Linked DNA regions of Astyanax mexicanus. The protein of the gene in region 1 interacts with the protein of each later gene in a biochemical or structural test. Links are inferred from orthologs where the notes say so. Each region holds a gene or a part of one and is shown in the gene's direction. Other genes may lie near its edges.

Evidence for each region.
Region 2: the proteins of disks large homolog 4 (region 1) and cysltr2b interact in a biophysical measurement, tested with the Homo sapiens proteins (2 studies listed by IntAct, with this or other methods). The link is inferred for Astyanax mexicanus from reciprocal best matches to the Homo sapiens genes DLG4 and CYSLTR2.
Region 3: the proteins of disks large homolog 4 (region 1) and ralbp1 interact in a biophysical measurement, tested with the Homo sapiens proteins (2 studies listed by IntAct, with this or other methods). The link is inferred for Astyanax mexicanus from reciprocal best matches to the Homo sapiens genes DLG4 and RALBP1.
Region 4: the proteins of disks large homolog 4 (region 1) and sema4c form a complex in vitro, tested with the Homo sapiens proteins (2 studies listed by BioGRID and IntAct, with this or other methods). The link is inferred for Astyanax mexicanus from reciprocal best matches to the Homo sapiens genes DLG4 and SEMA4C.

The regions. Positions count from the first base shown.
Region 1 is NC_064408.1:2,144,162-2,151,503, forward strand, and holds the start of disks large homolog 4, read left to right. Parts: upstream 1-4,341; 5' UTR 4,342-4,425; coding exon 4,426-4,668; intron 4,669-7,342. UniProt on the Homo sapiens protein: Postsynaptic scaffolding protein that plays a critical role in synaptogenesis and synaptic plasticity by providing a platform for the postsynaptic clustering of crucial synaptic proteins.
Region 2 is NC_064425.1:22,199,473-22,207,257, reverse strand, and holds the start of cysltr2b (cysteinyl leukotriene receptor 2), read left to right. Parts: upstream 1-4,781; 5' UTR 4,782-5,936; intron 5,937-7,154; 5' UTR 7,155-7,180; coding exon 7,181-7,785. Other genes in the region: rcbtb2 (RCC1 and BTB domain-containing protein 2), read right to left, coding at 913-1,038. UniProt on the Homo sapiens protein: Receptor for cysteinyl leukotrienes. The response is mediated via a G-protein that activates a phosphatidylinositol-calcium second messenger system.
Region 3 is NC_064411.1:46,521,273-46,528,222, forward strand, and holds the start of ralbp1 (ralA-binding protein 1), read left to right. Parts: upstream 1-3,940; 5' UTR 3,941-4,027; intron 4,028-6,783; exon of another isoform or gene 6,784-6,845; intron 6,846-6,950. UniProt on the Homo sapiens protein: Multifunctional protein that functions as a downstream effector of RALA and RALB. As a GTPase-activating protein/GAP can inactivate CDC42 and RAC1 by stimulating their GTPase activity.
Region 4 is NC_064429.1:37,682,786-37,690,333, reverse strand, and holds the start of sema4c (semaphorin-4C), read left to right. Parts: upstream 1-4,528; 5' UTR 4,529-4,847; intron 4,848-7,548.

The DNA.
Region 1 (7,342 bases):
AGCGGTATAGAGTAACAAAGCTGCTGATACATCATAGCAGCATAGAGAACCACAGCTGCTGTTACATCATAGCGGTATAGAGTAACACAGCTGCTGATACATCATAGCAGCATAGAGAACCACAGCTGCTGTTACATCATAGCGGTATAGAGTAACACAGCTGCTGTTACATCATAGCGGCATAGAGTAACACAGCTGCTGTTACACCATAACAGCATAGAGTAACTCAGCTGCTGTTAAATTATAGCAGCATAGAGTAACACAGCTGCTGTTACATCATAGCAGCATAGAGTAACACAGCTGCTGTTACATCATAGCGGCATAGAGTAACAGCTGCTGTTACATCATAGCAGCATAGAGTAACACAGCTGCTGTTACATCATAGCAGCATAGAGTAACACAGCTGCTGTTACATCATAGCAGCATATAGTAACGCAGCTGTTGATACATCATAGCGGCATAGAGTGCCACAGCTGCTGTTACATCATAGCAGTATAGAGTAACAGCTGCTGTTACAGTATAGCAGTATAGAGTAACACAGCTGCTGTTACATCATAGCGGTATATAGTAACACAGCTACTGTTACATCATAGCGGCATAGAGTAACACAGCTGCTGTTACATTATAGCAGTATAGAGTAACACAGCTGCTGTTACATCATAGTGGTATAGAGTAACACAGCTGCTGTTACATCATAGCAGCATAGAGTAACACAGCTGCTGCTACATCATAGCGGCATAGAGTAACACAGCTACTGTTACATCATAGCAGCATAGAGTAACACAGCTACTGTTACATCATAGCAGCATAGAGTAACACAGCTACTGTTACATCATAGCAGCATGAGGTAACACAGCTATTGTTACATCATACAGTATAGAGTAACACAGCTGATGTTACATGATAGCAGCATAAATTTACACAGCTGCTGATACATCATAGCAGCATAGAATAACACAGCTGCTGTTACATCATAGCGGTATAGAGTAACACAGCTTCTGATACATCATAGCAGCATAGAATAACACAGCTGCTGTGACATCATAGCGGCATAGAGTAACACAGCTGCTGTTACATTATAACAGCATAGAGTAACACAGCTGCTGTTAAATTATAGCAGCATAGAGTAACACAGCTGCTGTTACAGCATAGCAGCATAGAGTAACACAGCTGCTGTTACATCATAGCGGCATAGAGTAACAGCTGTTGTTACATCATAGCAGCATAAAGTAACAGCTGCTGTTACATCATAGCGGCATAGAGTAACACAGCTGCTGTTACATCATAGCAGCATATAGTAACACAGCTGCTGTTACATCATAGCGGCATAGAGTAACACAGCTACTGTTACATCATAGCAGCATAGAGTAACACAGCTACTGTTACATCATAGCAGCATAGAGTAACACAGCTACTGTTACATCATAGCAGCATGAGGTAACACAGCTATTGTTACATCATACAGCATAGAGTAACACAGCTGCTGTTACATCATAGCAGCATAGAGTAACACAGCTGCTGTTACATCAAAGCGGCATAGAGTAAAACAGCTGCTGTTACATCATAACAGCATAGAATAACACAGCTGCTGTTAAATTATAGCATCATAGAGTAACACAGCTGCTGTTACATCATAGCAGTATATAGTAACGCAGCTGTTGTTACATCATAGCGGCATAGAGTGCCACAGCTGCTGTTACATCATAGCAGTATAGAGTAACACAGCTGCTGTTACATTATAGCAGCAAAGAGTAACACAGCTGCTGTTACATCATAGCGGTATAGAGTAACACAGCTGCTGTTACATTATAGCAGTATAGAGTAACACAGCTGCTGTTACATTATAGCAGTATAGAGTAACACAGCTGCTGTTACATCAAGTGGCATAGAGTAACACAGCTACTGTTACATCATAGCGGTATAGAGTAACAAAGTTGTTACACCATAGCAGTGTAAAGTTACACACACATGTTGTTACATCATAGCAGTGTAAGGTTACACACCTGTTGTTACATCATAGCAGTGTAAGGTTACACACCTGTTGTTACATCATAGCAGTGTATGGTTACACATCTGTTGTTATCATAGCAATGTAAGGTTACACACATGTTGTTACATTATGGCAGTGTAAGGTTATACACTTGTTATTACATCATAGCAGTGTAAGGTTACACACCTGTTATTACATCATAGCAGTGTAAGGTTACACACTTGTTGTTACATCATAGCAATAAAAGGTTACACACCTGCTGTTACATCATAGCAATGTAGGGTTACAAACCTGTTGTTATATCATAGCAATAAAAGGTTACTCACCTGTTATTACATCATGTCAGTGTAAGGTTACACACTTGTTACATCATAATGCTACTGTCCTAGCTTACTGTTATTTAACAATATATTTGTAGCATTATTTTCAGTATGTTCCATGTATTTACTCTACAGCAGGATGATGTAACAATAGTAGTTATGACATCATACTGGTATGACTCAGTTATGTCACACTAGTACAGCATGCATTCTGTACTGGTTTAGATCTGCATGTTTATTCTGGTAATTGGGTTTAAATTGTTTACTGATGTTGTTTTAATAGTGTCGAGTCTGTTTACTGAGATACTCACTAATTATCACCCCTACCAACACACACACACACACACACTACACACACACACACACACACACACACACACACACTACACACACACACAACACACACACACACTCACACATTTTAACATTAAATACTGTTTACAGAATCCATTCATCAATTTAGTAGAGAAAATAAAATTATCTCTCTCTCTCTTTCTATTTCTATTTCTTTATCTCTCTCTCTTTCTATCTCTCTATCTTTTTCTATCTCTCTATCTTTCTAATTCTCTTCCTCTTCCTCCTGAGCTCTGATTGGATGAAAGAGACACGGTCACAGAGTATGAATATGAATTCAAATACAGAGAGAGAGAGAGAGAGAGAGAGAAAGAAAGAGATAGAGAGACAGAGAGACAGAGAGGGAGGGAGATAGAGAGAGATAGAGAGAGGGAGAGAGGGAGAGGTGGGGTGAGTGTGTGGGTATAAACAGCTATGCGAGCGTGAAGAAAATAACAAAAAAAAGAAAATCGTAAATTTCCGAAAATAGCACAGGCAAAGACCTCTCTCTCTCTCTCTCTCTCTCTCTCTCTCTCTCTCTCTCTCTCTTTCTCTCTACATCTCTCTCTATCACATTCATTTCCTCTTATTCTATCTCTCTCTTTCTCTCTCTCGCTCTCTCTCTCTCTTTCTCTCTACATCTCTGTCTATCACATTCATTTCCTCTTATTCTTTCTCTCTCTTTTCTCTATTTTTTCATCTCTCCATTCTTGATTTTTTTTACTCTTTTTTCTCTCTCTATCACATTAATTTCTATATCTCTCATCCTTTCATTTTCTCTCTGTTTCTTACTGTCTCTCTATCTCTTTATATATTATATCTACTTTTTTCTTTCCTCACTCTCAGTTTTCAATCTCTTTCTCTTCTCCTTTTTCTCATTCTCTCTTCTTTCTCTTTTTTCTCATTATTTTTTTTACTCTTTTTTCATTCCTCTTTCTGTCTCTCGTTTCTTTCTCAGTTTCACTCTATCCTTTTCTCTTTTGCTATTTCTCTTACTTTTTTCTCGTTCATTTCCTTTCTCTCTCTTATTCCAACTTCTTTCCTCATTATTTCTATCTCTCTCTATCCCTTTCCTCTTTTCCAGCATTCTCTCTCTCCATGAACGTTTTATCTCTCCCTTGTTTCTCTATCTATCTCTCTCTACACTTTTACTGTCTCACTGCTCTCTCTCTCGACTTTCTCTTTCTCTTTTTTCTCTAATTCTCACTTTTCTTATCTATTTTTCTTTTTCTCTCCATTTTTCACATTCCTTATATTTTCTTTTCATTTATTTTCATTTTCTCTCTCCCTTTTTACTATTTTTTATTCTCTCACTTTGCCAATTCTCTTTTATTGTCATTCTCTCTATATATATTTATATCTCTCTTCCTATCCTGTTTCTACCTCTACTTGTCCATGCTCTCTCCACTTCTTTCTTTCTTTCTTTCTTTCTTTCTTTCTTTCTTTCTTTCTTTCTCTCTCTATCTCTCTCTCTCTCTCTTTCATAAACATATTCTGTGACTCACTCATCGTTTCCTCTGCCAGGATTTTCTCTCTGCTCTCATTAGTGCCTTCCCCATCTATCCCTCTATCACTCTCTCTCTCTCTATCTCTCTCTCTATCCATTTTCTTCTTCTCTCGCTGTTTCTCTCTTTCTCTATCTCTCTACCTTTCTCCCTATTCTTCTTGCTCTGTCTCTCTTTATCTATCTCTCTCTACCTTTTCTCTCTCTTCCTCTAAACTATCCTTACATCTCTCCATCAATCTTTACCCTCTTTCTCTCTCTTTCTCTCTCTTTAGTTTATGACGCCCCCTCCTCTCTCTGTCTCTCTCTCTTCCCCATTTCTTTTTTTATTTCATTTTCCCCCTCAGTACAGTCCCCCCCTCCCTCCTTTCTCTCTCCCAGCCTCTCTCTCTTTCTCTCTCTGTCCTCATCCCTCTCTCCTCTCCTCCTCCTCTCTCTCTCTCTCTCGCTCGGCCGCTGTGTGTGTGCGTGTGTATCTGATGAAGGGTCGTACTAAACTGCCTTCACTCTGCTCCTGCGTGGTACGTATCCGCCTTTCTTCCGCGGGGATCTCCATCCATCCATCCGTCTATGCCTCCATCCCTCTATACCTACATCCCTCTATTCCTCCATCCCTCCATCCCTCTCTCTTTCTCTCTCTCTGTCTCTCTGTGCTGCAGGTTTTTGGGTTGTTTACGGCAGAGGTTCAGACGTGCTGTTGGCGTTGTGTGGGAATGCAGACAGTGTGTGTCTGAGTGTGAGTGTAAGTGTGTAAGTGTGTGTGTATAGTGTGTGTGTCTGTGTGTGTGTGTGTGTGTGATGCACAGTCACGTTTTCACTATTTTTTTTATGACGGGGTATGAAAACATCTGCAGTGTGCATCGTCACTGTGTGTGTGTGTGTGTGTGTGTTTGTGTGAGTGTGTGTGTGTTTGTGTGAGTGTGTGTGTGTGTGTGTGTGAGTGTGTGTGTGTGTGTTGGTATTAGTATAATTGGGTAACTTTGTAAACCTGTTGAATATGCATAAGTGTAGGAACAGGTGTGTGTGTGTGTGTGTGTTTGAGAGAGATACATGTATTGCATGTCTTAGAGTAAATTAGCTGAGTGAGCAGAGAGAGCGAGAGAGAGAGAGAGAAAGAGAGAGAGAGAGAGAAAGAGAGAGAGAGAGAGAGAGAGAGAGAGAGAGAGAAATATAATGCAATGGAAATTGCCATATATCAAATTGGTCAGTAGGCATCCAAACCAGACTACCTATCTAACCAGCCTTTATCTCTCTCTCTGTCTCTCTCTCTCTCTGTCTCACTCTCTCTCTCTCTCTCTGTCTCTGTCTCACTCTCTCTCTCTCTCTCTCTCTCTCTGTCTGGGTGTTTGTGATGAAGCAGCATCACTAATGTGCGTATATAATATTCATTATCTCTCTGATTACTGCAGAACACTGTTCACAACACACACAGAGACAGAGAGACACAGAGAGAGAGACAGAGAGACAGGTGCAGGTAAGGACAGACAAACTGAAAAGAAAAGATGGACAGAGAGACAGATGTATAAAGAAACAAACAGATATAGACAATCTTGACAGATGTATGAAATAAAGGAGATAAGGACAGAAATATGGAGGAGCAGGTGGACAAAGGGACAGACAGAGACAAGGAGAAATGGAGAGACAGAGAGAGAATGTAAGAGACATATGTAGAAAGGGAAAGAGACATGGAAAAAGAGACATATGGAGAAAGGAACAGAGAGATGAGAAAAGAGACATATTGGAAAAAGGAGACATATTGCAACATGGAGAAAAAGACAGAGACGTGGAAAAGAGACAGACAACATAAAAAAGGATGTAACAGACAAAAGAAAAGGATAGAAAGAGAGACAAAACTGATTAAGAAATGGACAGACCGATAGAGAAAGGAAATAGGGACCGATAGCTGGAGAATGGAAACGACAAAATGAGAAAGAAACAAACTGACAGAAAGATGGAGAATGAGACAGACTGAGAGACAGACAGGTGGAGATAAGACATACAGAGAGATAAACGATTGGAGAATAAGTAGGATATAGGGATAGATGGAATGACAGACAGATAAAAAGACAGATGGAGAAAGGGACAGACAGATAGAGACAGACAACTGTAAAGAGGGACATGTATATGGAGAATCTAAAATACTAAATGAGAAAAAAAAACTTACAGAAAAGTGGAGAGAGAGACAGATGGAGAAATGTACATACAAAGAGAGACAGCTGGAGAAAGAGACAGATGGAAATAGAGACATATAGCTGCAGAATGGAAAATACAAAATGAAAAAGAAACTAACTGTCAGACAGATGGAGAATGAGACAGATTGAGAGACATACAGATGGTGATAAGACAGACAGAGGGATAGACGTTTGGAGAAAGATAGGAAATAGGGACAGGTGGGATAGAGGGATAGATGAGGTGTCAGACAGATAAAAACGCAGATGGTTGCTGAAAGGGCTAGATAAGGAGAGAGAGACAGATAAAGAAATGGACAGACAGATGTAGAAAGACAACTGGAAAGGGACAGATAGCTGGAGAGTGGAAAATACAAAATGAGAAATAAACAAACTGTCAGAAAGACAGATGGGTGCCCAAAGGGCTAGAAAATAGAGACAGACAGATAGAGAGAGAGACAGATGGAAAAAGAGACAGATAGCTGCAGAATATAAAAGACACTGTTAGAAGGAAACAAAGTGTCAGACAGATGGAGAAAAAGACAGACTGAGAGACAGACAGATGCTGATTAGACAGACAGAGAGATAGATGATTGGAGAAAAACAGACAGATAAGGAATAGGGACAGGTGGGACAAATAGAAAGATGGAGTGGCAGACATAAAATGACAGATGTTTGACGAAAGGGCTGGACAGAGAGATGGACAAATGGAAAAAGAGACAGATAGCTGGAGAATGAAAAAGACAAAATGAGAAAGAAACAAACTGTCAGACAAATGGAGAATGACAGTGGTGATAAGACAGACAGAGGGATAGACGATTAGAGAAAGACAGGCAGATAGGGATAGAGGGATAGATGAAGTGGCAGAGAGAGAGACAGACCAATGGACAATGGACAGACATAGAGAGACAGATGGGAAAAAGGGACAGATAGCTGTAAAATGGAAAAGACAAAATGAGAAAGAAACAAACTGTCAGACAGATGTAGAATGAAACAGACTGAAAGACAGATGGATGGTGATAAAAGA
Region 2 (7,785 bases), on another chromosome or scaffold:
GAGAGTAAACAAGAATAGATAAGAGTGCTGGTGCTGGATCTGTACTTTAGATAGGCTACTATAACGGAAACAGAAACCCAACATAAAAATAGGTTGGCATCATCTGAAGCTTTGCTCCACTGCCTGTACTTAAGGTTTAGAAGACATGAATGGAAACAAGCCCATTAAGAAAGAAAGAAGAGGGGAAAGGGGGACAACACTGGTATGGAGGCAATATATCTCCACAAATAAAACTAAGTAATGCCAGGCATTTCTCTTTAAAATTATTGTAATTATTTTTAATTGTTCTAATATTTGTCTTAGAATGAAATTCTCTAATTCAAAAGGCATATACAACCTTTGAGTTCTAATCATCTGTGTCTGATGTGCTGCACCTAACTCTAATTTTAGGTATTTTAAGACTTTAGTGCAGACAAATACACATGTACTAACTTTGCATTTCTATTTATATTGGATACATTATTTAGTTTAGCTATATTAACTCACTCTCTCAATATTGTTCAAATAATCAAAATGTTTATATGGTTAAATATGTTAAATTTGGGTGTTCCAAACCACAAATTACACTTTATAGTAGTCTAGTGGAAAAAACTTGACTCCAGTGACACACACACTACTCAGGGTACAAACAAGGCTTGTGGTGTATTACAGGCCTATATATAGCGAAGCTCTATCTGCTTAGTACACTCCTCTCTCTCTCTCTCTCTCTCTCTCTCTCTCTGTGTGTGTGTGTGTGTGTGTGTGTGTGTGGCAACTTTCCCTCTTCTCAAACCCTGATATCGGACCCATAGTATTTCAATCTGAAACAGTCTTTGCAAACAATTACGGACATTACTTCATTCAATTTATTGGATTACCTATATTTGAAGGGCTATCACACACAAGCACTGTCCTTTAATAAGCAAAACATACCTCATCATTGACAGTAACGTAAAGCGCCTCATTAGCAGCACTGCCAAACACGCAGGCCTGGCGGATGAGTCGCAGTTCCTCAGGAGGCAGAAGTGCAAACACTGGCCACTTTCCCACGTCTAGCATGCTACTCTGCAACAAACAGGATAAACAGACACAAACATTTTTTCCTCAAGCAAGGAGAACAGGATGTACGGCCATTGGACCCTGGTCTAAAACAGTTTTGGACGTTCAAGCCGTTTGAACACTTGACTTAACTGCTTGAGACTTTTCGAACTGCAACTTTATACACAAGCCACAAAATATTACATAACTCAAGCAAAAGGCTTTGGGGCAGGTTAACCAATAACAAAAGAAGAAAGTGGGCTCTGAATGCTCCAGCGAGCTGCCACTATGATCAAGAGATTGCTGGTTCGAATCCTGTTCATGTAGCTCGCCATCTATAGAGCACAATTGCTCTATAGAGCACAATTGGCCTTGCTCTCTCTGAGTGGGTAGATGGCGTTCTCTCCCCACATCACTCTTACAGAGAAGTTGATAAGCACAATGCATCTGTGAGCTGATGTATCGAAACCGAGTGATGCTACTGGGCAATGCTGCATCAGTGCTAGTTTTCACCCTCCTGGTGTTGGGGCATTACTAGTGATAGGGGGAGTCCTAATGTCCTAATGAGTGGGTTGGGTAATTGGCCGTGTTGAGGAGAAAATTTAAGAAAAAATAAATAAATAAAAGAAATAAAATGAAAAATAAATAAATAAATAAAATAAAACAAAACAAGAAAGTGTTTTTTGCTCTCTTACACTTACAGTTAACTGTTTTAGTCTTGTTTAACCACCAAAATGAGAATAAAGCAATAGAACAGTAATTAGCTAAATATTTTTCCTTGATTTTTTAGGGGTAATATTGTGCACCAGGAGGTGCAAATACCTGCACAGCTCTGTGACTTTCCTGCTCAAAACACATATCTTTCTGCTCACCTGTTAGCTAACTGTCAGGTTTCTGAAGTTTGTGCAGGATTATGAAGTTTGTTACAGTAGGGGAATCAGCAAAATGTGCTGGCCTCTGCTTTTGGTAAAATGACTGTACCCCTGTGCTGCAGTACCCAAGTGTACTGCAGCATTGGCCACGTTCACAGTATTAAAGGGTACGAAAATCCATTTGATAACGTGCATTTAAGCAACAAAACGAGTTAAAGGGAACATTTATGGGTAGGATACCGAATTGTTTTAATATGGGTTGGTGTGATTTTAGTCTATTATTTGTCCCCAGGCTGTCAAACTATTATTTATATTAAGCCAACTTTGAATGTGACTAACAGCTGACTGACGAGAATAAAGTGGGCTACAAAAACTAAGCTATTATTTTTCGTACATCCCAAAACTAGCTAACTAACTAACTAATAAAGCTAACTAGCTATCTGTTATATAAGTTAGGTAGACATAGTTACGTATATGATTGGCTAACGTTACACCATGTAGTTACACAAAACAGGGATAATATGGGCAGAAACGCAGTTTAAAATCAAAGCTGGCGGTACTGTATCGCTGTAGTAACGATTTACCTGCAGATTTTACTGAGGCTCTATAAACAGCCAAGCTAGCTAGCTAGCTAGATAGATGGGAAGCTAGCTTAGCTTGCTAAATTGAGAAATGCCGTATAGTTAAAGCACCTAATATTAATACGAGCTATTATTATCACGATATATAACTGTTAGCTAACTATATTGCTAGTTATTGTACACATATCAGCCCAATCTGTTAAAAACACAGATATATCTAAAGCTCAAGTACTTGGATAAGTTAGCTAGCTAGCTAACCTAGCTAACATACTGCTAACTTCGCTAGCTGGCTATAGCCGGCTTGTTTTGAAGCTACACAGGAGGCTCGACAGAAACTCAACAAGCTAGCTAGCGTTGCTAACCAGCCAACACATAATTAAAAAAGTTAACGTCAACATACCTCGTGTTATAAAATGAACGCCGGCGCTTTCAGCCACAGGGTGCTTTAATGTATTTGTTCAGGTTCGTTTCCATTCACAAATCCAGGCTCGTTCAAAGGAAAGTGGTCCGATAATTCCAGGGAGTTTTCAGCAGCTAGCCGGCTGCTGTCATTCTCCTGCCCGCTGAATCAGTCCTTCATTTCACAGCGGATGATGAGAGGAGAGGCATGTTTTTCACACAGCTGACATCATGCAGGAGACGCTCTGCTCGCTTCTGGAGATGTTCGTTAGCTAGTTAGCTAGCTAAAGTTCAACTAAAGAGTAAAACCAGCTTAGGACTCACTGAGAACTGTGCTTCTATCAGAGGAGCCCCATTCACATCACTAAAGCAGTAGCCTTGTCTTCTTAACAGGTCTCTGTGCCAATTGTAAATAATTAGTTTGGTGTCACTTTAACACTTCATGTTTTTCCTTCCATAAACACCCTACTCGGATGGTCGAGGGTACTACTTTTGTTTCTCAATTGATGTCAAGAAAACCTGTAAATGAAAAAAAATTAAAGTCTCCATATACTGTGTTTAAATATATACATTTAATGAACACTTTATTATACTTGTCCATACTCATCATAGGGATGCGGAGAACCCCACCCAGATTAAAATCTCTTCCACTAGGTTATACAGCTTCAGTTCAGTTCATATTCAAGTTTTAAGATTTCAGAAATCAATATTTGGTGGAATAACCCTGTTTTCATGCATCTTGGCATGTTCTCCTCCACCAGTCTTACACACTACTTTTGGATAATTTATGCCACGCCTGGTGCAAAAAATCCAAGCAGTTCAGCTTGGTTTGATGGCTTGTGATCATTCATCTTCCTCTTGATTATATTCCAGAGGTTTTCAATTTGGTAAAATCAAAGAAACTCATCTTTAAGGGGTCTCTTATTTTTTTCCAGATCTGTAATAGCACTGACAGTTGACTGTGGAATATGTTACGTCAAGTGCTGCATCCTATCAGGGTACCACGTGGAAATTCCCTGACTCCTGAGAGCAACCCATTCTTTCACTAATGTTTGTTGAAGCAGTCTGCATGCCTAGATGCTTGGTTTTGTACACCTGTACAGGTGTGGCCATGGAAGTATCTGGAACCTGAGCTCAATGATTAGCACAATGATTCGAGTTAAAACGTTTGGCATGGTATGTGAATGACTATAGGTGTGGTCTGACCACATACTCAATTGGCCAGAAGGAAACTAAAATAGTCCTTTCTCTGTTGGCTCGCAAAAAGACTCTCAGACATTTGGGTAGTGTACCTCCTGGTGAGAGATTATTGACTGCTAGGCAGTGATGCCTCAACAGTGCACTCAATTGTAATTCTGTATTTTACACAGTAGACAGACTTAAAGAGGGGCCTTTTACAAATTCACAATTGAAAAACTCTTTAAGCCAGTCATCATTACTTATTTGCAGTGGTGTCATGAACAAAGTACTTAAACTCCTACAGAACCATATCATCTTTGCAAATTTATCCAAATTCTGTGTGGGATTTGATGACGATCAGGTTTGAGCATGGAGGCCTTGTGCTTCAACGCTGCTTTGGAGCGACACACTGCACCATTGCATGGTGGTGTGATAATCTGAGGTGCTTTTGCATACAATGGTCGGACACCCCTAGAAGTAATACAAGGTGGGACACTAACAGCTCAGTGATATGTGCAGGACAGAGGTGGATCCAGACGCACCCGCAAGTTCCATATTGCAGGACAAACTAACTGTTAAAATTAAACAATGCAGATTATTAGAGGAAAAGAAATAGATGTTAGCTGTTTTGTCCTTATACTGCAGCCTTCCAGCAGAGGCACTGTGTTGGTTTCACTTTTTAGAGATATTGTGCTTTCTATGTTTTCTACAGTCATTGGAGGGAACACCTACCCAAAGAAAGCGAGGCCAAGATTTTATTTATTTATTTTTTTACTAAAATGATTCAAACCTTTGTGGCTTTACTAAATTCACATATCTTGAAAGTCAGACATTTTCTAAATATTTTGTTCTTAAATTGCAACAAAATATGTTCCCACATCTTATTTAGGTCATTTCTTTGGTTTTCTAATGAAATCCAAATATGCCTTTGTGGTTCTCTTGAATAGAAAGTCTTTTGTCCCAGAAAAGGCAGGATGCCAAATGTCAGAGCTCATTATATTTGATTTTTTTGGGGGGTGCTGAAAGTGTTTATTCTCAAATTAAGCATTTTAAGCAGTTTATCATTTATTACTGTGTTTTTTTCCTTGGACTTCTTTATTGTTTCCGTTCTCATGGTTCAGTTATCAATGTTGCAGTGTTTCGCTAATATCTTATTTAAATAGCTTATTTAAGAAAATGCTAAAGGTGCAAACAGATTTCAAAATAGTACTATTTAAATCCTGGACACATTATTCATGTTTATTGTTGGGGAATACTTTTGCAACACATTTATGTGTGTCTGCGTTTCATCCACCTCCGTAGAATTTCAGTGGAAGTCAAAACATTCTCATGTATGGTCACAGGTTTTGGACCAAGATCAGCACTTGTGAAAGTTTTCTGGAAAAGAAAATGGTGGGGTGGGGGGCTCATGTATACACTTTCAGTCTTACAGCATTAAGCTGTGAAAAAGATAAGCAGCATTCTTAAACAAGCAGGAACATGTGTGATTGAAGCACCTTTTATAGGCAAAGGGTTTAACTTGGCATCAGGTATGATTTTTTGTTAACTCTTTCTGAGGCATGGTGATCATTTCTGCAGACAGGACTATCCAGAGAGCTATGAGTATGCACTACATGTACATGAAACTGATGTTTACATGATTACAGATTTCTTTTATCAATAAGTGCAATCAGTCAGTCTGTAGATTGACAGTAATCCTGTAAGAAATTGATAGTGGTTTCGGAGCAGTGCAGTTCATGGGGTGGAGCTGCAACAGAGCCTCAGCCAACCACACTGAGAGAGAAGAAGCTGCTTGTGGTTCTTTTCCCAGTACTGTTCTTCAGTGAAAGTGTCAGTCGGATCCTCACAGATCTAAATGTGAGCATCAGTCTTTAGCAGACCTTAGAAGGTAAGTTTTTATTCTATTGTTGCTGTTTTTACTTTAATTTTGTAAATATCTCACATTTCTACATGAACATTACAATATACCACAGGACTAATATTATACCATAATAACGTATAATATTGTCACTGTCACAGAAAAAAATGTGCCAATTGAAATAGAAATGCTTCAAATTGACTTAATAAAATTAAATCCTTTACATTAACTTTTATTAAATGTTAAGAAGGATTTTTCTTTTCCGATGAAATTGCAGTTTTGGAGAAACAGCAATGATATATGGTATGATATGTAATATAAAATATTCACATTATTATTTACAAGTAGAAATTGCTGTATGTCTTTTTGTTATCCTTCTAGTTTCAAGTTCAATATCTCAGGTGGGTGTATTTCTATATATTTGCTTTGTATTATTTGTAAGTGCTTTGTATTATGTGCCTTATTTCATTGGTCTTTGACAATGAGAGAACAAGTCCATTACAATGGGTATACATCCATTTTTTTAATTGGAAACTTGTTGGCCTCACTTTTTCTAAACAAATTAAATATTCAACCCTCCATCCATTGATATAATATAAAATATCCACATTATTATTTACAAGTAGATATTACTGTATTTCATTTTGTTAACCTTCTAGTTTGAAGTTCATTAACACTTACAGGTTTAATTTTTAATATATATTATTCTATTTTATTACATTGGATTCTTCTCTATTAAAAGAAATCATTAATTCAAAGGTTTTGTTTTAGTGTTTTGAGGACAACAACAAAATCACAACTTTTGCATACCCCTCAGCATCAGTGTGTACCCACAGGACACCTTCTCCTATATGTGCATTAGAAATCTATGTAGTGTGTTGTGTTGTACTTTATTTGTGTAATATCTTATTGTGCTTAGTATGGTCCATATATATATATATATTTGTCATTTTATCATCCCTCATTCCTCCCATTCGCTCCCTTTTTGGTCTTTTTGTCCAAGCCCATGCCTTATAATTTAATTTTCCTCACAGCAAACTAACTGCATGCACTGCTTTAGGGCTGTTTATCATTTGTATATCCTTTGTTCTCCCATTCAGCTGCACAACCATTATGCATTCCTTTTAGTGTATGCACTTTTTAGTTTCTAGTATCTTTATTACTGTATATCGTCACCTGACATTTGTTTTAGATATTTGTCTCAGCTTGTTTCTAATATAATCTTATATACCTGATTTATTTTTACAGGACTTTTACCAGACCAAAGATCTACGATGACTAAGCCGTGTCTGAACTTCACGGTTACTGTTGAATGCAACTGCTCAGTCGGTGCCTTCAAGCGCAGTGTCTACCCAGCTGCCTACCTATCTATCTTCCTCCTGGGACTGACTGCCAACCTCGTCTCACTATGTTTCTTCATCGGAGTGAGGAGGACGATGAAGTCCTTCAGCCCGGTTAACCTCTTCATGCTAAACCTCCTGATTTCTGACCTGATGTTGGTGTGTTCACTGCCCTTTCGAGCGGTCTACTATCTCATGAACTCCCATTGGATCTTTGGAGATGTTGTTTGTCGCTTCATGGGTTTCGTGTTCTACATCAACCTGTATGGGAGCGTTTATTTTCTAATGGTGCTCAGCATAGTTCGCTTTGTGGCAATTATTAAACCATACACCTATATGTACCTACAGAATAGTCGAGGAGCTGTGGTGGTATGCGTCTTCGTGTGGCTGTTTGTGTCTTTGGCCTCGATCCCTCTTTTAGATGCCGGGACAAGTCAGGATGCATCTGGCCATATCAAATGTCTGGAGCTAGACCCTTCTTTGGTGAAAACCATTATCACTCTGAACAAAGGCGCTTTGGGCATGGGCTTTGTCTTGCC
Region 3 (6,950 bases), on another chromosome or scaffold:
GTCACCTAGGGTACTTCTTCATGATCAGTTTACATACTGACATCCCATGACTTCTGAACTGCCAGTGTAGCTTATAATAATGTAATGGAATATAAATATTATATATGTAATATAATATTGTACAGTTTTTGATTCATATATTACTGTGATATAGAACTGTGGTATTTCCAGTCATATAAATGGTGTTGTGATAGCTTTCGTCAGATATGAACAATATATCTGATGTAAATATATATCTAAAATGTGGACATGTTAATTTTCCTCATAAATTAAAAGCCTTTTTTTTAAACCGAATAACTATTATATTAAAATAAAATGTTGAAAATGTACTTTTAATATAACTTATGGATATGACTGGTTCAAGGTGATTTTTGTATTTTATATATTTTTATTAATTATATTTGTGTAGATTATTTGACAAGCCATAACCTGGTAAGCATGCATTTCTGGGTCATCTCTTTTGCCACTTAAATAGATTATAAAACAAAGAGCACTGAATAAAAAATTATACTTTTAGCATTATTTAGTCTAAAGTCTAAATTCATAAAATGTGAAAAAAATCAGCCTATTTTCTAAAGTTTTTTTTTCTCATAAACTAATCACCTGCACTTATGCACAAAATCTACTGATCACTACTGATCTACTAACCCCATTTCCTTCTGATAGTAGATCAGTTTTTCACATGAAATTTGTGTTCTGCAAGAGATTTAACCCATTAAATATAATTTTAGAATAATGTAATATAATTTGTTCATAAGAAAGCAAGCCAAATCATTTCCGATGCTATTCCTTTACTAAATAAATAAATAAAACAGCGGCCTGCATGTTTGTTCTCTCTCTAAAATGAAAGGCCTAAATGAGAGCGTGCGTCAGTAAGCATTATAAAGGTGATCATTATCTGATATTGGTTTCTGACTCGCGTTGAATTAAAATAATCAGCTTGAACTGATTTATTTGATGATGACCCATCATAACACATGGTGAAGTCATAGTCGTATCTTATCTTAAGGAGGCTCATTAAGAGCTCTGAGATACGCCTGGGGCTGAATCATCACTGTGATTGTGCAGAAATGAAAGAACAGCATGGGAACACAATGCTCTCTGTAAATACACGTTATCTTCTGTTTATGAAGCGATATCTATGAATGGAATCTAGGCCGAGGAGCCTTTTTTCTGTACCTGGGTCTGTAACAAAGCATCTTAGAGTACTAGTACTACAAACCCAGTTACAAAAAAGTTGGGATGTTGTGTAAGGTGTAAATAAATGTAAAAAGAATCTGCAAAATGCAATGATTTTGCATATTTAATAGAATGTTATTTACAATAGAACATTACATACACATTTTACAGGTGCATCTTACAGCACTTCATCCAGATTTCATTTTCCAGCAGGACTTGGCACACTGCCCACATTGCTAAAAGTACCAATTGGTCTTATAATTATAATATTCTAATTTTTTGGGACACTGATGTTTGGGTTTTTATGGGCTGTAAGCCATAATCATCAACAATAAAATACATCAATATAATATATGAGTTTCACATTCACAAACTTAATTACTGAAATAAAGTAATGTTTCAATGATATTCAAAATTCTGAGATGCACGTCGATATTGAAAGAGACACATTTTGCCAATTTAATAAAATCATAAACTCTTTTTGAACTTATGAACCAAAAAAATTGGGATGGAGCAACATAAAGGCAAAGAGGAAACCAAATGATAAGATAATGCAGAAACTCTGCCATCTTCTCTAGGTCAAAGTCCTTTTTAAATATGTACAATTTTGGTTAATCTGCCCATTTTAAATATGCTTTGGCATACTGGCAGAGAAGATGGCACTGTTTATGGATCAAGGTGACCCATGACTTCTTCTTTTTAATGATGCAGCTTTAATTGCATTACTAGATTGCATGGTGAACTGTGTTCACAGACAGACAGTAATTACTGGAAGTGTACCTGAGCCCATGTAGTGATTTCCAGGAAAGACTCAGTACAGGGGCGGGGGGTTTAATGCAATGCCAGCTGAGGGCCTGAAGATCACCAGCATCCAATACTGACTCTTGGCCTGCTGTACCTTGCTCTCTGTGATTTAAAAGTGCCATATACTTTTCAAGCATTTTGGAGCATTTTCCCAACTTTTTGGAGATCTTAGTGTTTTCCATTCAGCTCTACATGGTCTAATGTTGTTCATGAAATGGTAGAATGTGTCAGTTTTAACACTGATATGTGTTCTATGTTCTACATTTAACAGTGTCCCAAGATTTGTGGAACTGGGGTTGTAATACTGACTCTAATCATTTTGGGTTAGATCTATTCTGCAGTTTGTTTGAGTTTTTACCTCACTATCAAGGTTCTCGTATTATCTGATACGGCCGGTGTGGCTGCAGGTCATCATTATATGAGGTGTGTGTGTGTGAGGTCTTCTGCTGCTTGTCTGGAATGAAGATCTGCAGCCACATCAGCCTTTTGCAGATTGGATTGGTCACCCTTGGCTATATTCATTCAGCAGGCTGTAACAGGCCACATTTATGGCTCAGTGCTTCCATCTGCTGGCAGTAACAGAAGGAGGAGGGAGGCTGGAGATAGCACCTTATTTAAAATCTAAAATCTAGCCAGTGTGCCTGCAGGTTTTTATTACAGCCAAGCTTAAGCATATCATCAATTGATGTCATCAGCTGTTTGACGACTGATCAACTGATTAAACAGGTGGAATTAAATGTGCTGTTGATTGTTTAGAATGAAAATCTTTTTTTACATGCCTCATTATCTCAAAGAGTGGTGCTGCAATTGATTCTACAGTAGAGTTTGCCTCCTCCATTTCTCTGCTGGAGAAAACACTGAAATAGGACTTAAAACAATGCTATTTTCGTCCAAATAAGTTTGGTAACCAGTAATTTTCTGCATTGTAAAAAATGTAAAGATATTTTTAACACCTAGGAAACTTTTCCTATGTAAGCACCTATGTAGATATACATTAGGTCAGCTATTCTCAACTGGTAGGTCACAGACACGTTCTTGGCGGGTCATGGACAGCTTGTAAAACATATATATAAAATGAAATATCACTTTTCCAAAAAATAAATAAGGCCACAAAATATTTTACTCCTCTGCTTATATATATATATATATATATATATATATATATATATATATATATATATATATATATATATATATATATATATATATATATATATATATAAGCAGAGGAGTAAAATATTTTGTGGCCTTATTTATTTTTTGGAAAAGTGATATTTCATTTTATTGTAATAACATTTTTCATGCATATGTATGTTTAAATGGGTTGAGAACCCCTCAATTTGGATAACCAACACTACGTAGATAACACGCCCATGTGTGGCCCGTATGGGTTACCCAACAGGAAACCAGATAGTGAAGGACCCCATTAGGGTCAGTAATGGGACCAGAAGACAATAAATATGGGCCCCATGTGGGCTATACACTGCACATGTGGCCTATACACTGCACAGTAGTAAAAAAAAAAACGCTTATAGCCCATGTTTCACCCATGTGAGCCACACATGTGCATGCTGGCTGGGCAAACTGTCCCATCAGTCCAACTGTTCAGTATGATTTCAGTATTTAGTGACTACAGAAGCGAGCTGAGCACACATTGTGATGTGTACCAAAGTACACAGAAACATCATCCACGTCTACAGCACAGTTGATCCTGAGAAGGTGCTGCAGAGGCAGAATTACCACAATAAATTTTTTTTTTTTAATGTTAGGAAATGTTTGTAATCATTTTAAGCAGGACTGATATGTTTCAATACTTTAAAGGAACACATTTCAGTTATTAATGAAATGAAAATATGGTTTAGGGTTTAGTGGCTCTTTAACTAATTAGTCAGATTTTATAGTGTAGTGCGTGTTTGGCTCTAGCTGCAGAAACTGACTACATCTCCCAGAAGTCTGAGCGTGTCCACCTTTTACGCAGACTGACGTTCCTGTCGGGCACGTAAACAAGTCAACGGGAAGCAGCGCTGTGGAGCCACCCGAGCAGGTTAGTTTAAATTAAAGCTGTATTTATCGTGTTTTATGTGCTGATTTTAGCTGAAGCTGGTATTTAATGTGTTTATTTATTAGAGCGCTGAACTGTCGAGCCCGCGGCCGGTTAGCTGGGAGCTTCTGCCCCGCTGTAAAAGCCTAATCCGCGCTGCTCAGGCTAACAGTGCTAGCGCTGCTGCAGCTTTACTGCTAACCGGATAGATAGCCTGTGTTAGTTAGGTGTGTTAGCTTCAGCTAGCTAAATAAGTAACGTTAAGTATTTAATTACTCTAAATGTGTGTTTAAAATAGAATACAGAGCTTAAAGTGAATCCTCCATAAGATTAAAATAAAGCCATACACTCCTATAGGAGTAATTAAAGGAATTAGCCAGTGTTAGCAGTGTTATCAGAGGAAACTAGTTACTTAGCTTATATAGTTAAAATGACTGTATATGTGACTGTCAGGAGCTTATACACAATTTACACAGTTTTGTACAGCTAAGTTAGATAACATATTTTTATACTGAGCTAGTTATTTTTTATTTCTGTTATCCTACAGCAGGGGTGTCCAAACTTTTTTTTGTTGGGGGCCAGAAGGAGAAATATATTTGAAGTCACGGGCCACACTGTTTAATAAAACAAATAATGAAATATACCTCTTTAAATAATAAATTTTCCTCATTATTTTCATTTACACACCATTTTACTTGACTAACTATCTTTATCTTTGACAGTGTTGTGTAAACTAAGATTTTTTCAAATTGATGTTTAATTTCATGATGTCTCTTAATATTAAACTCCTTAATTACAGCAACTTTTAGACTCTTTGGTCCGTTTTTCTGTGCTAGAAATGCGCACCCTCTCCGCTTTTAGAATCTGTACCCCGTTTTTCTGAGCTAGAAATGTGCACTCTCTCCACTTTTAGACTCTGGCCCGTTTTTCTGCGCTAGAAATGCGCACCCTCTCCACTTTTAGACTCTTTAGCGTTCAAACTTTGAATCTCACATTATAAAAACCTGCTTAACAGCGGGCCAACTTTCATTCTATTTCTAAAATACCTCGAGGGCCGCTCCAAAAAAGAAAACGGGCCGCACTTTGGACACCCCTGTCCTACAGTACTAGCCAAAACTTTGGACACACCTTCTCATTCAATGTTTTTTTCTTTTTTGTTTCTTTAATTTATTTCCTACATTATACGTTAATATTAAAGGCATGAAAACAGTGAAGGGGCACATAATAAAATTATTATCTGACATGGGTCATTGTCTGACACTTTAAATGCTTCCATACTGCTCACGTGTTTGCTGCATTTACATAGAACAGGTGACTTTGTGTTGGTTGCTTGATTTTTGACCAGATGATTTGACTTTTTTTTTATTCGATGTAACAAGTTAAATTATTTGGAAATTTCATTTATTCAACAGAACACATGAATGCATTTATTATAAATTTGTTCCCTAAAATGTGGTTGCCAAATGCGATGCTTGTTTCGGTGAAAAATGGGAAAATGAGCTGAAATCTTTTGTGCAATACAGACGGAAGACATATTTTTAAAGAAGGTGTAACTTTGTCCTCACCATTTACATGTAAGGGCCTAGTTTACTTCTACACAATTTAGCACAGAGACAGTACAGGCATTATACAGTATAGAGTATAGGTCATCTCTGTCCAATGTAAAACAAGTATCTGCATTTTGGTGATTTTTATGTTATTACATAATTTGAACACATAAACTGTGCCAAATTTCTTAATAAATGAGCCAATAGAAATTTTCCAACATGACCTGAAATAAACTTAAACTTTACATTCACCTCCATTGGAATCTATCTTATGTAAAATTTCTGTTTTGGACAGAGTCGATATGTTATTTTCAGTGTTGAGTATATTAAATGATTACACTGATGTCTTTTGGGAAACACAAAAAGAGAATATGGGTAGAGAAAGGGTGACTAAGCCTTCTGAGGTCTGTCATGTGACAGAACATGAGGGTTTCCAAAACACACCATTTGTTGTGTCCAGTGAGGACACATCAGCTGCCACTGGGGTCAGAACTGGGTAGAACTTACTAGGGGTGGGCGATATGGCTCTAAATTAATATGACGTTATTTCAGGATATTTTTGCGATAACGATATATTTGGCAATATAGGAAAACAGAAAAATAATTCATTAATTTTAGGAATATAGTATAATAGTTTAAGAGTATATCGTAATGTGGCAAAATAAATAATATAGCATAAAATAATATAATGCAGCAAAAAATATTGCAGAATATTTTCATGCATATAAACTGCAAACTAAAACTATAAACTAAAACAATTATACAATAAATACACTTAAAGCTTCACAGTAAATAATGGACTACTTTTAAGACAAACCATCCCTATTTTCACGATATGGACTTACAATATCATGATATTTCTGTGTCACGATATATTGTATACAATATAATATTGCCCACCCCTAGAACTTACACATTAAACAGATTATCTGACACATATTTGGTAATGTTGAGAGGTTTATTAGAAATGTCATAGTGAACTTTTAGTTTCAATAGGGTATTGGCATTTTTGGACATTCTTAAGTTCTTTAGGCTATTTTCATACATTTAATAACATTCAGTTGGCAGGTTTAGTAGAATATAAACTAATAGGTTCTTTTACTTTTTCTAACATTTATAACACCTTCAAAATCATGGTATAATATTCTATTTTTTTTCAGTTTGTGTTATTTTATAATGCATTTATATTTATATTATATTTTATTTCTGCAGCAGGAGTGGCATAAAGTTTTCCAAAAGCAGTGTGTAAGACTGGTGGAGGAGAACATCCCAAGGTGCATGAAAACTCTGAATAAAAACCAGGGTTATTCCACCAAATATTGATTTCTGAACTCTTAAAACTTTATGAATATGAACTTGTTTTCTTTGCATTATTTAAG
Region 4 (7,548 bases), on another chromosome or scaffold:
CTCTAGTTTGCTGTAGATTTAGCATTTAGCCTAACACTGATACCATAGTTAGCTTTTAGCCTAGCATGTATTTCCCACTGTTGTACTTCTCCTGGTGGTGCTTAGGTTATAGCATGTATTAAAATTGGAAAATTGATGTAAGAATATATATTTTTCTGTGTTACATAACGGTTATCTGTGGCCTTCAGGGGTTAATCTGAATTAAATAAACTGCAGCACATGCATCCCGTAATCTATCTTAATAATTCCCTTTATGATCTCGTGTTTTAATTAGCCGTTGCTACGTGTGCGGATGCTAACGGGGGCTGCTGTTAGATGGCGTTCCTCGCAGGCCTGTTTTACGGCTGTTATTGTACGTTTTTCTCCCCGCGTTTGGGCTGGGTGGTCTCCTGGGTAATGCTGCAGACCTCTTCCCATTACTTATTCATTTTGCACTGCGGAGTAAAATCCTCGTCCAAACAGAGCGATAAGATCCCGCGAGTCTCGAGCCGTGGGACCCCTCGCTGAGGGCTCTTCTGGCCGAGCAGGACGAGCCCCCGGGGCAGGAGGCTTTAGGAGCGCTGAGTACCTGAGCCACTCAGCTGTAATGAAGATTCTCAGGGTAAGAGAGCAGAGATCACTCTAAAATGGCCATAACTGCCGCCCTCTTTACGCCGCGGCTCCATAAACACGGCCGGGGATTTCGCTCCACCTTAGCAACGTCTCGCTCGCAAGAACCGAAATCTCCGGGAAGCAAAAAAGGAAAAAAAAAACGTACATATTGACGCTATTACCTCGAAAAGATGTCATTCATACATCTGATTCAACAGCTTAGCAAGGCTTCCTTCAGCCACATTACCAGGATACCATGGTAACCACCTAGCAACCACTCAGAAACCCCAGCGCATTTACATTTAAGGTATTTAGCAGATGCCCTTATCCAGAGCATCTTCCAACAGTGCTTACATACAGTCAATGTGGTATCACTAAAGCACTAATCACTAAAGCATCTAGCAACCACTTAAACAAACCATAGCAACCACCTGTATAGTAGAGTAGCGTAGCGTTTAGGGGATGATACAGTGTTGAGGAGTGTAGAGGAGTGTAGTGGAGTATAGTATAGTATTGTAGAGTTTAGGGGATGATACAGTGCAGAGTAGTGTAGTAGAGGAGTGTAGAGGAGTGTAGTAGTGGAGTATAGTAGAGTAGTGTAGAGTTTAGGGGATGATACAGTGTAGAGGAATGTAGAGGAGTGCAGTAGTGGAGTATCGTAGAGTATTGTAGAGTTTAGGGGATGATACAGTGTAAAGGAGTGTAGTAGAGGAGTGTAGAGGAGTGTAGTAGTGGAGTATAGTAGAGTAGTGTAGAGTTTAGGGGATGATACAGTGTAAAGGAGTGTAGAGGAGTGGAGTATAGTGGAGTAGTGTAGAGTTTAGGGGATGATGCAGTGTAGTGGAGTGTAGTAGTGGAGTATAGTAGAGTAGTGGAGTGTAGTAGAGGAGTATAGTAGAGTATTGTAGAGTTTAGGGGATGATACACTGTAGAGGAGTGTAAAGGAGTGTAGTGGAGTGTAGTAGTGGAGTATAGTAGAGTAGCGGAGTGTAGTAGAGGAGTATAGTAGAGTATTGTAGAGTTTAGGGGATGATGTGTAGAGGAGTGTAGTGGAGTATAGTAGAGTATTGTAGAGTTTAGGGGATGGTGTGTAGAGGAGTGTAGTGGAGTATAGTAGAGTATTGTAGAGTTTAGTGGATGATACAGTGTAGTAGAGTATAGTAGAGTATTGTAGAGTTTAGGGGATGATGTGTAGAGGAGTGTAGTAGAGTATAGTAGAGTATTGTAGAGTTTAGGGGATGATGTGTAGAGGAGTGTAGTGGAGTATAGTAGAGTATTGTAGAGTTTAGGGGATGATACAGTATACATGTGCTGAACATCAGACCACAGACTGCTTTCCCCCGGCAGCACTTTCTCTTTGAATTCGGCTCTACAGCTTTACAGCAGATTATAAAACTCTACAGGCCTGTTTACCGTCCTATCAGCAGCAGTTCTGCTCGTCCCTCTACTGCAGAAACAGCCTCTGATCTTCTAGAAGAGCTTTAACAGCAGATCCTGGAACACTGCTGCCATGATTTGATAGCATTCAGCCACAACAACAGCATCAGCGAGGTGCAGTTCTGATGTTGAAGGTTTGGGACTCCAGAACATTTGAAAATGAGAAATGTCTGAAATAACAAAAAAGATGCAGAGCTTTCAGACCTCAAATAATGCAAAGAAAACAAGTTCATATTCATAAAGTTTTAAGAGATCAGAAATAATCAATATTTGGTGGAATAACCCTGGTTTTTAATTAATTAAAAAAAAAAATTCATGCATCTTGGCATCATGTTCTCCTCCACCAGTCTTACACACTGCTTTTGGATAACTTTATGCTGCTTTACTCCTGGTGTAAAAATTCAAGCAGTTCAGTTTGGTGGTTTGATGGTTTGTGATCATCCATCTTCCTCTTGATTATATTCCAGAGGTTTTCAATTTGGTAAAATGAGTGAAAAAAAGAAACTCATTATTTTTAAGTTGCTCTTTTATTTTTTGCCAGAGCTGCAGGTTCGAAAAAATGAATTATATGAAAATGAATATAATTAATGTAATTAAAGATTTTGTTTCTAAAAGCAACAAAATCTACTAATTAGCAGAAAATATATTAAACAAAAGCCATTTAATTTTTAGTTTCTGATATGTATGAGTGCGCGCACACATTACCCAGCGCTGTGCGCCACGGCGGACTGATCTTCCCCTCAGTACTGCATGTTTTATCTTGATTAATACGGGTTAACCCTGCGCACTATAATGGAGTTTTTACGTCTGGACGCCTCGGAGAAAGGGCTGTAATGATGCGGTACAGTAATCACGCGATTATTGGACGTGATTATTGGGCGTGATTACGCCGCACTCTGAGGGCACAGCTTTCTTTTTCAGTCATACATATTTCATGGCGCGATTTTACAGCATGAAGACGAGATCAGACGCAGCGCCGCTCGGCTGTACCGGACCTGGGGGCGGCCCATAATCCCTTTGTGCCCACTAATATGAAAATCTACAGGGATTATGGGAAGGGGGAGGGGCTGTTTTTCTTCCTAAACCCTTCAACCTAATCTTTTAATCATAACTCTTGCGTGACATCTTACATGTTTACTGTTATTCTACTGCGTGTTTCATATTTTATACTGTTATTATTTCAATATACAGTATATATGGTCAGTGAAGGAATAACAGTATAACAATAGGGATTATTAAAACAATAGAACATATTGTCGCTGTCCAATGAAAAACAGTTATCTCCAAAACAGCAACTTTACAGGAGAGAGAAAAAACATTGTGAACTTTCAATGGAAGTCAATGTAAAAAGAGTTTATTTCAGGTTATTTTGAAGAGTTTCTATTGGTCCGTTCATCAAGAAATTTTGGCACAGTGTGACGGACAGTTTGTCTGTTCAAATTGTGCAGTAAACTAATAATCGACAAAAATGGAGATAACTGTTTTTCATAGGACAGCTACGATATATGAACAAACAACATCAATACGTTTTTACAGTTCTAACAGTTCTACTTCTTTTTTAACAATTTTAGTTTTTATTCGTGAAAGCATTAAAAAATTTATATAACCTAGAATAATACAAAAGAAAGAAAAGATCATATATATAAATATAATAAATATAATATATATGTAAAATAATGTACAATATTTTATATATTTCCATTTTTGTCAAGTCTTGTAACACAAATCTGATGGTATAGTTCAACTTGCAAAATACAAGAATGTAAAAATCAGACAATAGAGAAAATAATAATTTTTAAATTTTTCCTGAAATTCTAATTGTGAGGGATGGAAAAAAATAAAACTGGAAAAATGGATGAAAACTTTTCTATTTTTGCATTTAGGCTCAAACACTCAGAAAAATATATTAATGATTGTTACACTGACCATACTGGTTTTAAAACTAAAGAACAAAAGCAAGAGGTAGTAAATGTAATGCAAAGGGGGATTAATTACATATAAACCAACAGAGTGTAGGAATGTTTTTTAAAATGTTAAAAAGTAGTAGTAGAAAGTACAGATGATTGTGTAAAATTGCAAGAAGTAGAAGTACGAGTTAGCTAAAGAATATAATTACTTTAATTACTCAAGTATAAGTATTTCTTATACTTAATATTTCTACTTAAGTAAAGTAACAAAGTATTTGTACCTCATTCCTTGACACTCCTGTGAGCTAACCAGTTCTACCACAACAAGGGCGTGGCTTTAGCGTTTAATAACATGAGAACGTTTCTGTTTTTGATACATTTTGTTTCATACGCAATCTCAGTCCAAGTGGGCGGAGCTTCAGGCGCTTCACTGCTCTGAGAGACTGACCACTGTGGACGTTCCGGTGTGTAGAGTTTAAACCTTTGGCCAATAGTTGCGCAGAAGGGCGGGGCTTTGGCACTAGTGGCCAATCCCTTGTTTGGGGGCGTGGCTTAGTGTGGGCTAGGGGTGGAGAGAGAGAGAGAGCGAGAGAGAGAGAAAGAGAGAGAGAGAGTTGGGCAGTGTAAACTGACTCCACCGCGTCTCCCGTTTTTTCAGGCTCGCCGTGTTTGTGGAGCGGAGAGCACGCGGACTGGTTCTCGGTTCGGTTCTGTTGGGTTCGGTTCTGTATGATGGAGGCGGGATTAGTACGCGGACCGCAGAGCGCAGCGCATTGACGGCACCAACTCCCCGCGATTCAGCATTCAATCGCTTTATTCCGGGGATCCAATCCGGATTTTGGGGTTTTTTTTGGGGGTTCTGAGGAGGTTCGGTCCGGTCCAGTCAGCAGTGCAGAGCAGTCAGTGCAGTGGGTAAGTGTGTAAACATAGCTGTTTGTGATGTTTTCATTGATTATTTATTGTTTTTACGCTGATGAAGCTCAATCGCATGCTTGAAGAAATTGCGGCTGCTGGTTTGCGTGATTTTTGCGCGTGTTTTTAGCGTGTTTTATGCGTTTTTTAGCGGTAGATTGTCGTTAGAGTAGGGGAGGGTTTGATATCTGATACTGTCATTAACTCCCAGCAACTCAGCCTCCAGTCTCTCCACACACTGACTAACTGTTGCCTGGATGTTTATGGGGTTGAGGTTTTAGAGATTATATCCTGTTTTTATCCAAATCCTGATGTTTAATTTATTATTCATTATTGTAGAACAAGTATAAGATTAGACAATACCATCTATTGTTGTGTGGATTTTTGCAGTAGACTTTTACAGCAGTGCAGAGAACTAGACAGCATTTTTTGTATAAAAAAATCGGAAAAAGCAGGAAAACAGAAAGAAAAACTACCGCAAAAATGTAAAGAAAGAGAAGCTATAAGATTATAAAAGAACATAACATGCACGTGCGTTCCCAGGGATAATGTACTAGGATAACAACAAATAGCAGATATATAGTAAATAGTAATACAAAATAATGACATCATACTGTACCTACCCACACAAGTTAACAGTATTATATAAATATAAAATAAGGTAAAATAAGCCTTTAATAAAACTAACTAAGCCTTTTTTTGCAATATTCCAGTTCAGTGCAGTGCAGATTACAGATGTGTCAGGAAATATATATATATCTTAATCTAAAAAAAAAAACAGAACATGAAGATTTATACTAAAGTATGATTCTAAAAAGCTACATCTATAATTTTGTATATTATATTAAACCTGGTACTCTGAATAAATATAAATGCTGTCGTAAGCATTACACATTAATGTTGTACATGAACAAACAACAACAAAACAAAAAAGAAATATCAAATACTGCAAATAGAAATGTCAGGAAGTATATATTTACGCAAATATACAAGAAAAAACATGAAAGTAAAAAGAAAATTGTGCAAAAAGTAGAAAATCTTAAACTAAAATATGATTATATGATGCGTGTTTGTGTGTTGTGGTAAGCAGTGAGAACCTAAATACTTAATTAAATGTAAAGTAATAAATTATCTTTTTACTAAGCAAATATATTTAATGTCTCACTACTATTGAGATAATAAGTGTTGCTGAATGAGTGTAAGCAGTTATATTAGGTATAATTGAACAATACATAATATTTTATATGTAAAAGTACTGAGTGAACGGGTGGTGGGTGAAGGTGCATGCACAGCATGCGTAAAACTGCAATACAATGACTGCATTACTGCTAGTCCAGCAGTGCTGTGAGCCATCAAATCTGCAGAAATACAGCAAATACTGACACATCTGCTCTTGTTTGATTGGCTGGTGCGACTGTTTTGGATGTTTCTGCGTTTTTTTCTCTCGCATGCATTCAAATTGTGGAGCTAATAAAACAATATATTTCTGTTAATATATGTATATTCTAGTTTCTGTGTGTTTCTACTATGGTTGCAAGATACCTTAAAAAATGTATGTCATGATATGTAGTGGTTTAATAGGTCTGTCTATTTATGTCTGGAATATATATTGCAATACATTATCAAAATTAGAAGTCACTTATCCAGTTATATTGTGACGTTGTACTGTGATTTTGTATTATAATTCCGTTATATTATGACGTTGCACATCTTGCAGTGTAACCGTGATGTAAATGTCATTTGCACATAGCGAAGTAGGGGTGCACAAAAATATCAATACAGCAAAGTTTAACAAAATTTTGTTTATTTTGTAATACTTTGTTGATTATCAAAAACACAGTATTGATTTTTTTATTATTAGTTTAGATGTAAAGATTGGTGTCAGAAGTGGTTCATTGTTTAGTGTTGTGTTTAAACTTCGCCCACTAGTTAGCAGTAAACATTTGTTTTAGTCAGATTAGATTTTAGTAGTCGAGTCTGAGTCAAGACTGAGTCTTTTAGGAGTCGAGTCTGAGTCAAGATCAAGTCTTTTAGTAGTCAAGTCTGAGTCAAAACTGAGTCTTTTAGGAGTCGAGTCTGAGTTAAAACTGAGTCTTTTAGTAGTCGAGTCTGAGTCAAGATTGAGTCTTTTAGTAGTCGAGTCTGAGTTAAAACTGAGTCTTTTAGTAGTCGAGTCTGAGTTAAAACTGAGTCTTTTAGTAGTCGAGTCTGAGTCAAAACGGAGTCTTTTAGGAGTCGAGTCTGAGTGAAAAAGGAGTCTTTTAGTAGTCGAGTCTGAGTCAAGATCAAGTCTTTTAGTAGTCAAGTCTGAGTCAAAACTGAGTCTTTTAGGAGTCGAGTCTGAGTTAAAACTGAGTCTTTTAGTAGTCGAGTCTGAGTCAAGATTGAGTCTTTTAGTAGTAGAGTCTGAGTTAAAACTGAGTCTTTTAGGAGTCGAGTCTGAGTTAAAACTGAATCTTTTAGGAGTCGAGTCTGAGTTAAAACTGAGTCTTTTAGTAGATGAGTCTGAGTCAAAACTGAGTCTTTTAGTAGTCGAATCTGAGTCAAAACTGAGTCTTTTAGTAGTCGAGTCTGAGTCAAGATCGAGTCTTTTAGTAGATGAGTCTGAGTCAAAACTGAGTCTTTTAGTAGTTGAGTCTGAGTCAAGCCTGATTCTTTTAGTGTTTGTAAATAGTTTTTAAATGCTTTTAATGTTTGATAA